3 linked regions of the Schizosaccharomyces pombe genome follow. The gene in region 2 interacts genetically with the main gene of each other region. Each region holds a gene or a part of one and is shown on either strand. Other genes may lie near its edges. The genes, in order: dfg501, pof7 and mca1.

Evidence for each region.
Region 1: mutations in pof7 (region 2) and dfg501 together harm fitness less than expected from each alone (positive genetic interaction), as found in Schizosaccharomyces pombe (one large-scale study listed by BioGRID).
Region 3: mutations in pof7 (region 2) and mca1 together harm fitness more than expected from each alone (negative genetic interaction), as found in Schizosaccharomyces pombe (one large-scale study listed by BioGRID).

Annotation. Positions count from the first base shown.
Region 1 is NC_003423.3:182,972-186,731, forward strand, and holds the start of dfg501 (mannan endo-1,6-alpha-mannosidase), read right to left. Parts: upstream 1,615-3,760; 5' UTR 1,255-1,614; coding exon 1-1,254. Other genes in the region: dfg502 (mannan endo-1,6-alpha-mannosidase), read right to left, coding at 2,318-3,564, 3,623-3,704.
Region 2 is NC_003421.2:2,371,303-2,375,062, forward strand, and holds pof7 (F-box protein Pof7), read right to left. Parts: upstream 2,036-3,760; 5' UTR 1,778-2,035; coding exon 692-1,777; 3' UTR 212-691; downstream 1-211. Other genes in the region: SPOM_SPCC70.10 (uncharacterized protein), read left to right, coding at 1-58; U3 associated protein Utp25, read right to left, coding at 2,818-3,760.
Region 3 is NC_003424.3:2,987,206-2,990,965, forward strand, and holds the start of mca1 (transcription factor), read right to left. Parts: upstream 1,649-3,760; 5' UTR 1,225-1,648; coding exon 1-1,224. Other genes in the region: U2 snRNP-associated RNA-binding protein Sap49, read left to right, coding at 2,191-2,302, 2,360-3,255.

The sequences.
Region 1 (3,760 bases), on a different chromosome or scaffold from region 2:
TACTATTGTTGTCGTTGTATTGGTATCGTTAATCACAACGTTAGAAGCATATGTACTGTTAGATCGATTGTCGGTCGAGCTAGCAAGGGTTGCTATTTCAGGAGCATATTCAATCATTAACATCTGAACGGCTTGTAAAGCAGAAAACTGCTCTTGAACGCCATAATTATCATCCCACGTCCCATTGTTCCAGAACCAATAAATACCGCAACTAGTACCACTGTAACCACCACAACATTGCTTAGCAGCAGCAGCAGCACTAGTCTGAATTAGTGGATACAGTGTATCATAAGTATAAGGAGCCAGTCGAATGGTATTTCCAAAACTTTGCATAAAAATACCCTTGAATGCAGTTTGGTCGGAATTACAGTCGTCGAAGTATTCACATTGGGGGTCCCAAGCTATATCATCAGTAAAGAAGTAAGACGTAGCATGGCTAATAAGGCCATCAAGCCGTTCACGCCATACTGTTTCTCCAGTGTAGTTATACATATATGCAGCGCCAACCATAAAGATACCTATGTTGTAAGACCATTGAGATGGATCCAGTGTTGTACAATTCGTCGAAGTATCGGCGCCATCATACACAGCATAAGTTGTGGTATTGACAAATCCAACGTCGGTGGTCCAATCCCATATCTTGTTAGCCCAGTCCGAGTAGACACTTTCGTTTGTAAAACGAGCAAGTCTAGAGCTTAGTTGAAAGAGCAATGCATTACTAACTGAAGCTTTATAGCTATATCCATTCAACCAAGCAAAAGCTTGCCAACGTAAACCACCACCACACGTGCTTGAATCCCAACGTCCGGACATACGATTAAACGCCGCTTGCGTTAACTCCAACCATGAATGTTCTGTTGAATTTGGGGGACTAAAGTTAGCCTCTGCTGCATCCATTGCAGCGGCAGCCCACATGCCTTGATCATCATTTCCGAGATTAAAGTATTCAAACGAGGGCTGATAGTCAAATCCGCTACCAGCATTATAAAGTAAAGAAGAAGAAATAAGATCGACATATGTGTCATTATTAAAAAGTTCATAGTTATAAAGCAGAGCGCCCATAGTAGCACCAGTAACCCACCAGTATGAAGCAACAAATGCCTGGCTGCTTGCATTCCAATAGTTCATCAAGTCTTTCATCATAATATTGACGGTATTATCAATAGATTGATAATCTGTTATATCCAAATCCATAGCTTGTGCTCCGATGAAAACGAGAAAAAAATAAAACAAGCCCACACTATAGATATTCATTTTTACGGTTTAATTAGATTAAAGGTATTAATTAGAAGAGGATGGTAGATAAGAAGAGAAATTTTCAAAGTAAATTTCTTTGAGGGAAGGAGGAGATTCAAAATTATAATTAGTTTAATTAATACCACAAAATAACCAATTGAATAAACAATAAACCATGAAATAAACCCAAGTATTTGATGAATATCAAATGTTCTGGACGGGTTACCAAAGTCCGTCTACTCTCCCAATTTTGAAATTAAAATATGGAAAATTTTCGAATCAGTATGCCAACAAAAGATTGTTTAATATTTTTAAAGATTTGAATGAATCAGAACAGTTCTAACTTATGGCTTGTGAAAAATCGTGATGTGCTGTCGGAAGGAACGATGACACAAAAGTAGTACGGTGTACCACAGTGTCGAGCTCCGATGCATGTGAAAGTTGTCCGAGCATTCGATACTATACGAAGTAGATCATTTTAACATATATAATAGTTAAATCTTACTCTTTAAAACATATTATGTGATAAGAAATAACTTAGAGCGTTTCTTTTGTATTTTGAGTTAATATATGACTAAAAAAATTTAAAGCACAAAATTTTCGATTAAAAAAAAAAGAAAGCTTAAATGACTATAGGGGAATGTATCAAACATAAAGATGTTAATAACATTCAAAGAAATAAAGTGTAACAATATGCAAAATTGACAAATAAAAACGAATGCAAAGATCTCTTATAAATTAGATGAAATGAATATGTAAGTTGAAATAGCAAGTCACAGACCAATAGAGTTGCCAAATGCAAATGATGGAAAGGCGATCAATGGGATATTAAACAAAACTTTTAAGATGCTTTTTGCAACGTCAAAACCTTCAATCAAATAAAGTGGTACTAACCACCATGGCATAATTCAGTAAACGATGCTCAAAGAAAGTTAAATATCGTAAATACCTTAAATCAACAGAAATAAATAATAAAATAAGAAGAAAAACCAAAGTTTGCCTCTAACCAAAAGTAATTTGGAATGGTTTGGTATAAAAATGCAAATGCGGCTGTATATTAAACTTATCGTCAAATAAATTCTCAAAAATAAAGCCAGATAGAAAACAAAAGGAAAACAAATGAAAAAGCAAAAGTGAGAAATCCGGCCCAGCCTTTATCGCTCTTTGTTGCTGGAGTAATCGTAACGGTATCACCATCGTCCGTTCCTGCATCTGGATTGGATTCAGAAGATGCACCGGTATCTAAAGTTAAAATTGTAGCACTTTGTTGTGCAAGAAGCGCTTGGAAAGTTTCAACAGCTGATATTTGCTCGCCAAGGCCATAATGATCGTCCCAAGTACCGTTATTCCAATACCACATGTAACCACAAGTGACACCATCAGATCCCCCACTACAAGCAAGGGCGGCAGCTTCTGCACTGCTTTGTATATAGGGCAGAATAGTTTCAACGGTATAAGGAGCTAACTGCATCGTATAACCAAGAAATCGAGCTAGCATTCCCTTAAAAGCAGTCTGGTCTGAATTGCAAGATTCAGTTGGCTCACAAGAAGGTTCATAAATAATTTTGTCAGAAGTAAAATAATAATCAAGTGCCTTATTCATTAAACCTTCCATATGGGTTTGCCACACAGAACTGCCATTCGTATAGTTATATAAGAATGCAGTGCCAGCAAGGTAGACACCTACATTGTAACTCCATTGTTCATTCGTAATAGAACTACAATTTGAAGTTACTGAAGCACCGTCATATACAGTATAATCGTCTAAATCAACAAAACCCACAGTTGTAGACCAGTCCCAAACCTTTTGCGCAAGATCAACATAGGTATCGTTGTTAGTATAACGTGCAAGACGAGCAGCGAGCTGAAAAAGAATTCCATTACTAATGGAGTTCTTATAAGAATAACCGTTATTGAAAGAATATATTTGCCAGCGGACACCACCACCACATGAACTAGTATCCCACCTAGACATAATTTCATTAAACACGGCTTGAGCCAATTCCGTAAAAGAGGCAGAACTATCACCAGTAGTCATGTTAACTTCTGCAGCTGACATAGCACTGAGGCCCCAAATACCTTGGTCGTCATTGCCCAAATCAAATTTTTCGCTATTAGGAGCATAATCGTTATTGTCGCCTTTATTCGCTACAAGGGCACTAATTAGCATGTCAAGATGCGTTGTATTTCCAGTTGCAGCATAAGTGTCTGTCATTGAATTAAGGCCAGCTCCTGTCATCCACCAGTAAGCTGTAAATGTATGAGAAGTGCTTTGATAATAATTGAGCATTCCGTCAGTGACGGTAGTCAAGGCACTATTTATGGAATCTTAAATATGGTTAATAAGATATATTCAAATTGGGTGCGAGACAACTGGCAGACTTACCATCTGAAGTTACATCAAAGTCAAATGCAAACGCGAAAGAAAAAAGAAAGAAAAACTCAAAAAAAAAAGATAAATACCTCATTTTTATAAAAAACCACCAATTTCTTTTAGGATAAAAAAATAATAACGAATGAATAC
Region 2 (3,760 bases):
TCACGAACGACCAGCTTCACCACCACCAGTTTACAGACCTCCAGAGGAAATGGTTTAGCTTTGAATAGAAATGAGCGATTTTCTACAGTTTCGTTAATCCTTTCTCTTTTTCTCTTTACGAAACTAATTTACTTTAATTTTATTATCCAAAATAAATCCGTTTGTTAACTTTAAAACGGAATCTTCATGTTGAATTATTGCTCTCCGATATTTCTCCATGTTTTACTTTTGTCATTCAATGCTTCGATATGGCGATTTTTTATGTTGCCTTTAGTTTATTTATTTGTGGTAAAAAAGCAGGGATTTTTTACGAACATGATTACGAATGGTTTTATGGTTTTCTTTATGAATATTCGATCTGGACTTCAAGAAACTGATACGTTTAATATTCCATTTCGTGGGTTTTCCTCTTTTATTTTTTAAGTTTTGTGCATTCTATTTACTCTTTTCTCCTCAAGTATCACGCATGTTTCCTTGGACTTAGGATTGTTTATAACTTTGTACTTCCAAAAATTTGTTAAGCATCTGTTGTTCATTTGTAAATGTATGTTAATGATATATTTCCATGCGAAGAATAATGATGGCATTAATATTAATAAAAAATAATTTCTTTAAATCCTCTCACGATGCGACCTATAATAGATAATTAATCATTTCCGCGGTTTCTAAATTAGTATTCCAAAAAGTAAGACTAGCCACGTTTTAGTGACTCTGAGTCAGCAGTATAGCTATATACTCTGGAGAAAACATAGTCACGATTGTGAGTGAGTGGCATTTCGTTCGTGAATGAGGTATAATTATGGATGGAGTAGAAAGAAATCCACTTAAGCCTTATTCCACGAACTTGAAGTTTTTGAACGTATGTATAAGTTTGACTTGCGGGATACACAATTAGCATTTCTCCAGAAGGAGTCATTGACCAGGAGCCAGTGAGTGCTACGTTTCCATTACTAAACATAGGAGAACTCGACATAGGAGAAAAAAGACTGGTGTTTTGCACACTGAAGTTGCGAACAACATCATTTGGTTCATTACTGCTTTGATAAACGATACATGTTGAATTAGGATAAAGTCGTAAATACCGGTAGTATGTGATCAAATGTATGGGTTGGTTCCAGCTCGTGTCACTAGTTCCAGGTCGAAAGTATCGACAAACGGATATGTAGCATCCGTCAAAACGAGATCGAGGCTTTTTAAGGAACAAAGTCTTCCAGCTTTGCTGGTATTTTTCCACGAGTTCTTCCTCTATTGACTTAATAGACTGTTGCCATTCTTTTTGTTCACAACTGCAATAACAAAACGATCTATATAGAGAATCTGCTCGTAATGCCTTCGCAAAATGCTTACAAGTTAGTGCAATTGAAGAGAGATATCTTAAATCATGAAGGTCCCTAATGCAATTCTCTAGGATAACTAGCAAAACCTCGTCGGGAAGCTTCAGTATATTGGGAACGACCGACTCATTTACAGACTCATTTTCCGTTAACGTTGGAGATGGGACTGAGGAAACAGTGAGCATAGCTTCTGATGCATCTGAATTTAACATTTCCTCCTCTTCATTTCTTTTACACAGTTGCAAACGCTCCAAACGCCGATAGATAGATTCCACATCTTCATGGACTTTATGAGCTAATCGATATTTATTAAGAGATTCACCTAAATTTCCTTCTCTTTCAGATTTTATAGCATCTTTGTAATGTAAAAGTGCTTTTTTCAACAGTATATCCTTGTTCACTGTTTCAAGTTCAAGAGAAAGTTGATCCTCTACTGTACTCATCACTTATTTTATTTCTCAGACGAGCAATCGAAAGTAGATGTATAATTGAAAAAGAAAATATTTTCTTACTTATTTCTCTCAAAATAGAAAAAAAAAAAAAGAATTCAACACGAATATTAAGAGGTTAAGATAGTGCTGAACCTAACTAATGACTTTTATGTTTTTTACTTTTCATACAATTCCTAGCAAAGTATTAACAAGGATTTAAGGATTAAAAGCATCCTTTCACAAGACCTTACTTTGGTAACAATATGGTTTAGTTCATGGGTAGTTAGCCGTTGCGTTTAATATCAAGTTGTGGCGGTTTGATAACAAGAAGAAGAAGATTAAATTGAGTCAATCGTCGCTTCTTTACTGTTTAAAAAATGGACTAGATAAATATTGTAACATGTTTGAGATGCTATTTGGCTATGGGCATATTTGTAGGTGTCTTCGATTCTATCACTTCTAACAAGGCGTTAGGACTTGCGAAACCATTACATAAACTTAAAACTTGTTCAAATCAAAAGTTACTTGGCAATAAGCTAAGTGGATATTAGGATTTTAGCGATATAGAAAACATTTCGATTTGATGAATTATTGTAATAATTACCAGCTTCATGTAGCATTACTGCATTTATTTATGGTGAATATGATAGCGATTTTTATTGTTAATAAACGAGTAGATACATATCCCGCTTTGCTTTCGGATAATTCTCAGCATATCTTCGTCAAAAGCAATTGAGATTTAGATATGGTTTCGGGAACACAGTCGAAACCAAACTCATTGATAATGTACGATGCCTTCCAATCGCTATATGAATCTTGAAATAAGTATAAAAAAAATTATATATTGAAAACATTTAAAAAGCACTGTCAAGTTAAATCATTCAAGTAGCTATTTACTCATTCGCTCTCAATAAATAAAGCAAAGCGGAATGGTCCAAATAAAGTACATTTTAAGCTATTCTATTGTTTTAAAGTAGTAATTTTGTAGCTCTTTCATCCAAAAATCCAAATGACCCCTAATTCCTTTTTAAAAAAATTTTTTTCGTATTCTTTTAAAGAAATTCAAAAACTTCATGTTTACCATGACACATGTTTGATACACGCTGATATCCCACTATGCCTTCCAGGCAAATAGAATCAAACTTTGTATACATAATTCTACACTTTGCTGCATCACTGTCAAGGTTTCCTTCAGAGATGGTTCTCATCGGCATTCTAACAAGTTCAACATAAAACTGAGGATTCGTTGGGGGACCATACATCACAACAGCTTTTACACCCCTAAAGTCAAATCGACGGAAATGGTGAGCGCGCTCAGTATATAGCATTATATTGGTTCTACCTTGATAAAAAAGATTGCGGGCTCTAGTCATATCGGATACACTCGAATATTCTGATATGGCAGAATAGTTAATTCCCTCCTCATCCATGTAATTTCTCACACGAACAAAATCAAAATATGAAGGTATATAAACTAAAATACCACTCTGGGAATACTTCTTTAGTTGTACTAGTATAGAACCAGTAAAATAGGAAAAGCGGGCATCTGGAACTTTAATAATAGAATCGACAGAAATGCGAACAAAAGTTTGAGTCACTTTGTACCCCAAGCGGTTTAAAACACCGTGAAGAAGCGAGCGAAATTTAACCTTACCAGCAATATTTGACATGTAGTGAGAAAAGAAAGAATTTATATCTAGATTGTTATATTGAGAAAATAGTATAGTTTGGCGCATATATCTGGCTTGCTGATCAAGATACCAAGGACGAACACGACTGAAATCACAACCGTGAGCTTCTTTAGGCAAACCATTAAGTTCATCAAAAATGCATTCAATATGTTCCCAGTTTTGCATCACGAGAGCATGAGCTTGGTCAACCATTGCTATTTCAATCGAACTCAAATAATCGAGGTCTCGCTTTTTATCTCCCTTGTTACCAATAGCAAGACGAAGTCCCAAAGGACTAGCAACTATAATGTCAGAATTGTAAAAC
Region 3 (3,760 bases), on a different chromosome or scaffold from region 2:
CCAAACTGCTCTTGGAGGTAAATTTTCATGCCAGGCTTTTAAAAGCTCAAAGCTACGATGGAATTGAGACTGATTTAGCCAAGGGGGTGTGATATCTTTCGTGTATCCACCACATAGAGCCCATCTTGAGATCTCACTCCACAAATTTGACAAGCGGATTAGGGAACCCGTCATAAACTCCAGTTGTAAACTTCTTTGGTATGGGGCCATTGAAGTGGTGTCTGACTGAGTGTTTTCCGGTAAAGATCCATCAAATAACTCAGTAAGAATTGGCTGATTAAATAAAAAATTAGGTTCCGGACAAGGTAATTGTATACTAGTCTTTTGAAGAGATAAAGAAAGTGAGCGCAATTTTGAAGGTGCCATGTAACCTGTACTTAGCAAACGTTCGACAAAAAAACAAGCCCAATAAACCCTTCTTTTCTGCTCGGCTTCAGTCCATGAAACAGTGTTGGATCCCATCGTAAGAGGATTATCATTTATTTCGTTACCAAGATCTAAAGAATCGACCATACGGAGAGCCATACCCAGTAAAAGCCAGGCTTTAGCGCCTCTACAAGAGCCCAACTCAATTAAGCAAAGCAAGAGCAGGCAAGTGATATTAGTCAGTGAAATATCCTGGAAACGACAAGGAAGCAGTGAAAAGGCTTGGTTTGCGTAGTAATCAGATGCTGCAGTTGAAGATTTAAATCTATTGACTTCCTCTTGACTGAAACGAGCAGCGTGAGCACATATACAAAGTACGAGGACTGGCGGAGCAGTATCACTTGCAATTTGAGACGTAATTTGGGCCTTATTAAATATCCCAAAAAGTTCGGTATATGAAGTTTTAAGAAATATGTCCCAAAGCTGTAATAACTTTCTACTGGTTGGTAGCCTTAACTGCTTCTGATAGTCACCAAAGCTATTAATAGAGTAAGTAAAATCCATGTTAGGAGATGATGGAGAGAGGATCGTAGGAGAAAAAGGATGAGAGCCCAGATACGGTTGCACTATACCAGTAAGAGGACTCAAGGTTCTGGCAGCGGAAGATGGCTTTTTGCCTCGCATATTCGGTCGATCAGGCCAAATGCATTCAACTTTGTTGTTACTGCAAGCTTGACATGATGGCTTTTCACCAGAACACTTTATTTTTTTCTGCCTACACCGAATGCATGCCTGAGATACTTGACTGATTACTCGCCTTTTTCGAGGCACAGCATCTTTTTCGACAGCAGCAATCATGTCGAAAATAAAATACTAAAATGAAGTAATAAAATATTCTGTGTCCTTTTAAACCGTTTAAAAACCTAGATAATCGAAGAAATCCTGCGTTGAGTAGACAGGTCTTAAAAAAGAAAAGAAAAGAAAAGCAGACGTGCCAATTGTCTGATCGTACGTCTGTTAGAAAAAGCTCACGAGCTTAAATCAGAAAAAATAAATAAGCAATAAACGTAAAGGCTACGAACAGTCCTTTCGAAAAGTTTGCAAGTAGAAAATTAAACATAAACAATAATAGACTTAAGTGAAAGAAAAAAGGGGCATCTAGGACTACACAAGTACGCTTTTTCAAAACACCAACATCACAGAAATATTTTGATTAAAAACACACTCGAAAAGCTATAAAATTCAACTGAAGTCGTGGTATCACCTGAAGGGTGAAGATCATAAGAAGGTTACAAAGACCACATGGGAGTAAAAAGCCCATCTAGGGTAACATAAATAAGCCCTCAGTTGTGTTCAAAACTACAGCAGCAAAAATAAATATACATGGCCAAACATCGTTTTTACAAAAAGTTAATAAATGAACCTATTAAATGTACTAGTGTACGATGGATGTAAGGAAATTAGGGCTGTATAAAGAGATAGGTTGCTATAAAAAATATTTCGTCAGTCTACCATTCACAACTGTACCTTCAACTTGAATATAATTCAATCTCATGAGTAAAATTATAAAATAATAAAAAAAAAACGAAGATTTAGTATTAAAAATCTCCATAAATGTGTTTGGAAAACGCTGGACACTGAAATTTTAACGATGAATACTGTAATTTAGTTTTCTATTGTGCTATTTGGTGCTCGTCATTAAGTCAATAACGAGACTATGCACCAATTTCTTGAATCTTCTACCAGCGTCTTCAAACGTGTCTATCTATTTATTCTAATAAATTTCTATAATAGACACTTTAACTTATTTTTACTTATTTATTAATGAGTATTCGAGAAGACAGGAATCAGGATGCAACTATATATCTTGGCAATCTTGATGAAAAAGTAACGGATTCTATTTTGTTTGAGTTATGCCTGCAGGCAGGTCCAGTTGGTATGTAATTATTCGAGTGTTGGTTGTATTTGTGGCTTTCGATACTAATTCATACAGTAAATATTCATATTCCAAGAGATAGAGTAAGGAATAGTCATAATGGCTTTGGTTTCTGCGAATTCTTACACGAACAAGATGTTGAGTATGCATGTCAAATTCTGAATCAAGTAAAGTTGTTTGGAAAGCCTATAAGGGTCAATAGAGCTAGCCAGGACAGAGGAGTCAATACCTTAATTGGTGCAAATTTATTTGTTGGCAACTTGGATCCTCTTGTTGATGAACGCGTATTGTACGATACATTTTCTGCTTTGGGACAACTTGTCAAGGCACCTCAGGTAGCAAGAGACGAGAATGGAAGGTCGAAAGGTTATGGTTTTGTTAGCTACGATTCTTTTGAAACCGCTGATGCAGCCATTGAGGCCATGAATAATCAGTTTTTAATGAATAAACCAATTACCGTGTCATACGCCTTTAAACGCGAAGGAAAGGGTGAACGTCACGGAGATATTGCGGAAAGAAAGCTAGCAGCAGCCGCTAAAAAGAATAAAGTTGCCGTTACTCCTCAGAGTACTCTGCCTCCAGGATTTTCACCCGCCACTCCTGCTCCAACATCTGCTGCTAATACTCCAGCAACAATTGCTGCTACATCGATACCTCCTGTACCGAATGTTCCTCTAGTGGGAGCAACTACTGCCGTCCCTCCCTTGTCAATACCTAATGTTCTTCCTTTCACTGCTGCACAGCATTTCCCTGGAATGCCTGCTATGCCAATGATGAATGTTCCAATGGGCCCTGGAGGTGCACCACTTGTCCCCCCTCCACCACCAGGAATGGTGATGGCTTCTCCTTCTCCTGCTGCTGCTACCATACCTGGTGCTCCTGTAATGCCAAACATACCATTTTATCAAACAATCAATGCACAAAATGGATACAGTCAACAACAAAGGAGGTAAAATATTTTAAAAAGAAGCAAAATAACTACCATTGTTGCTCAAACGCCGGCATAGTAAAATAGCTGAGATTGATCCGTATGGTTGATTTTTTTTTTAACGTGTACAGTAAAAAAAGTGGAAGCTGAGATTTATCTTATTTAAAAGAAATTAAAATTGATGTTTGTTTATATTTTACAGTTTGACTTTTTCTAGTAATGAGTTTTACTTCGTCCCTAAATATCGGCAATATAGTCTATAAACGACGCATTAATTCAATCCAACATATTTTCAGATACATTGAATTATGTATACAATCCAAACGAAAGTATAGTCTAAGCATTATATTAAATATAAGCTGCTAATCTCTTGACCAATATTAGTGAAGTATTATTTTTGACTCGTTATCCCGTAAAACTAAATAAATCAAGTACACGAAGACTTGTGTCAACAACCATATAGAAGTTTTTTGCATAAACATTGGTAACAGCTTCTTATTCGACCCTTTAGAAAACTATAAGAAAGCATT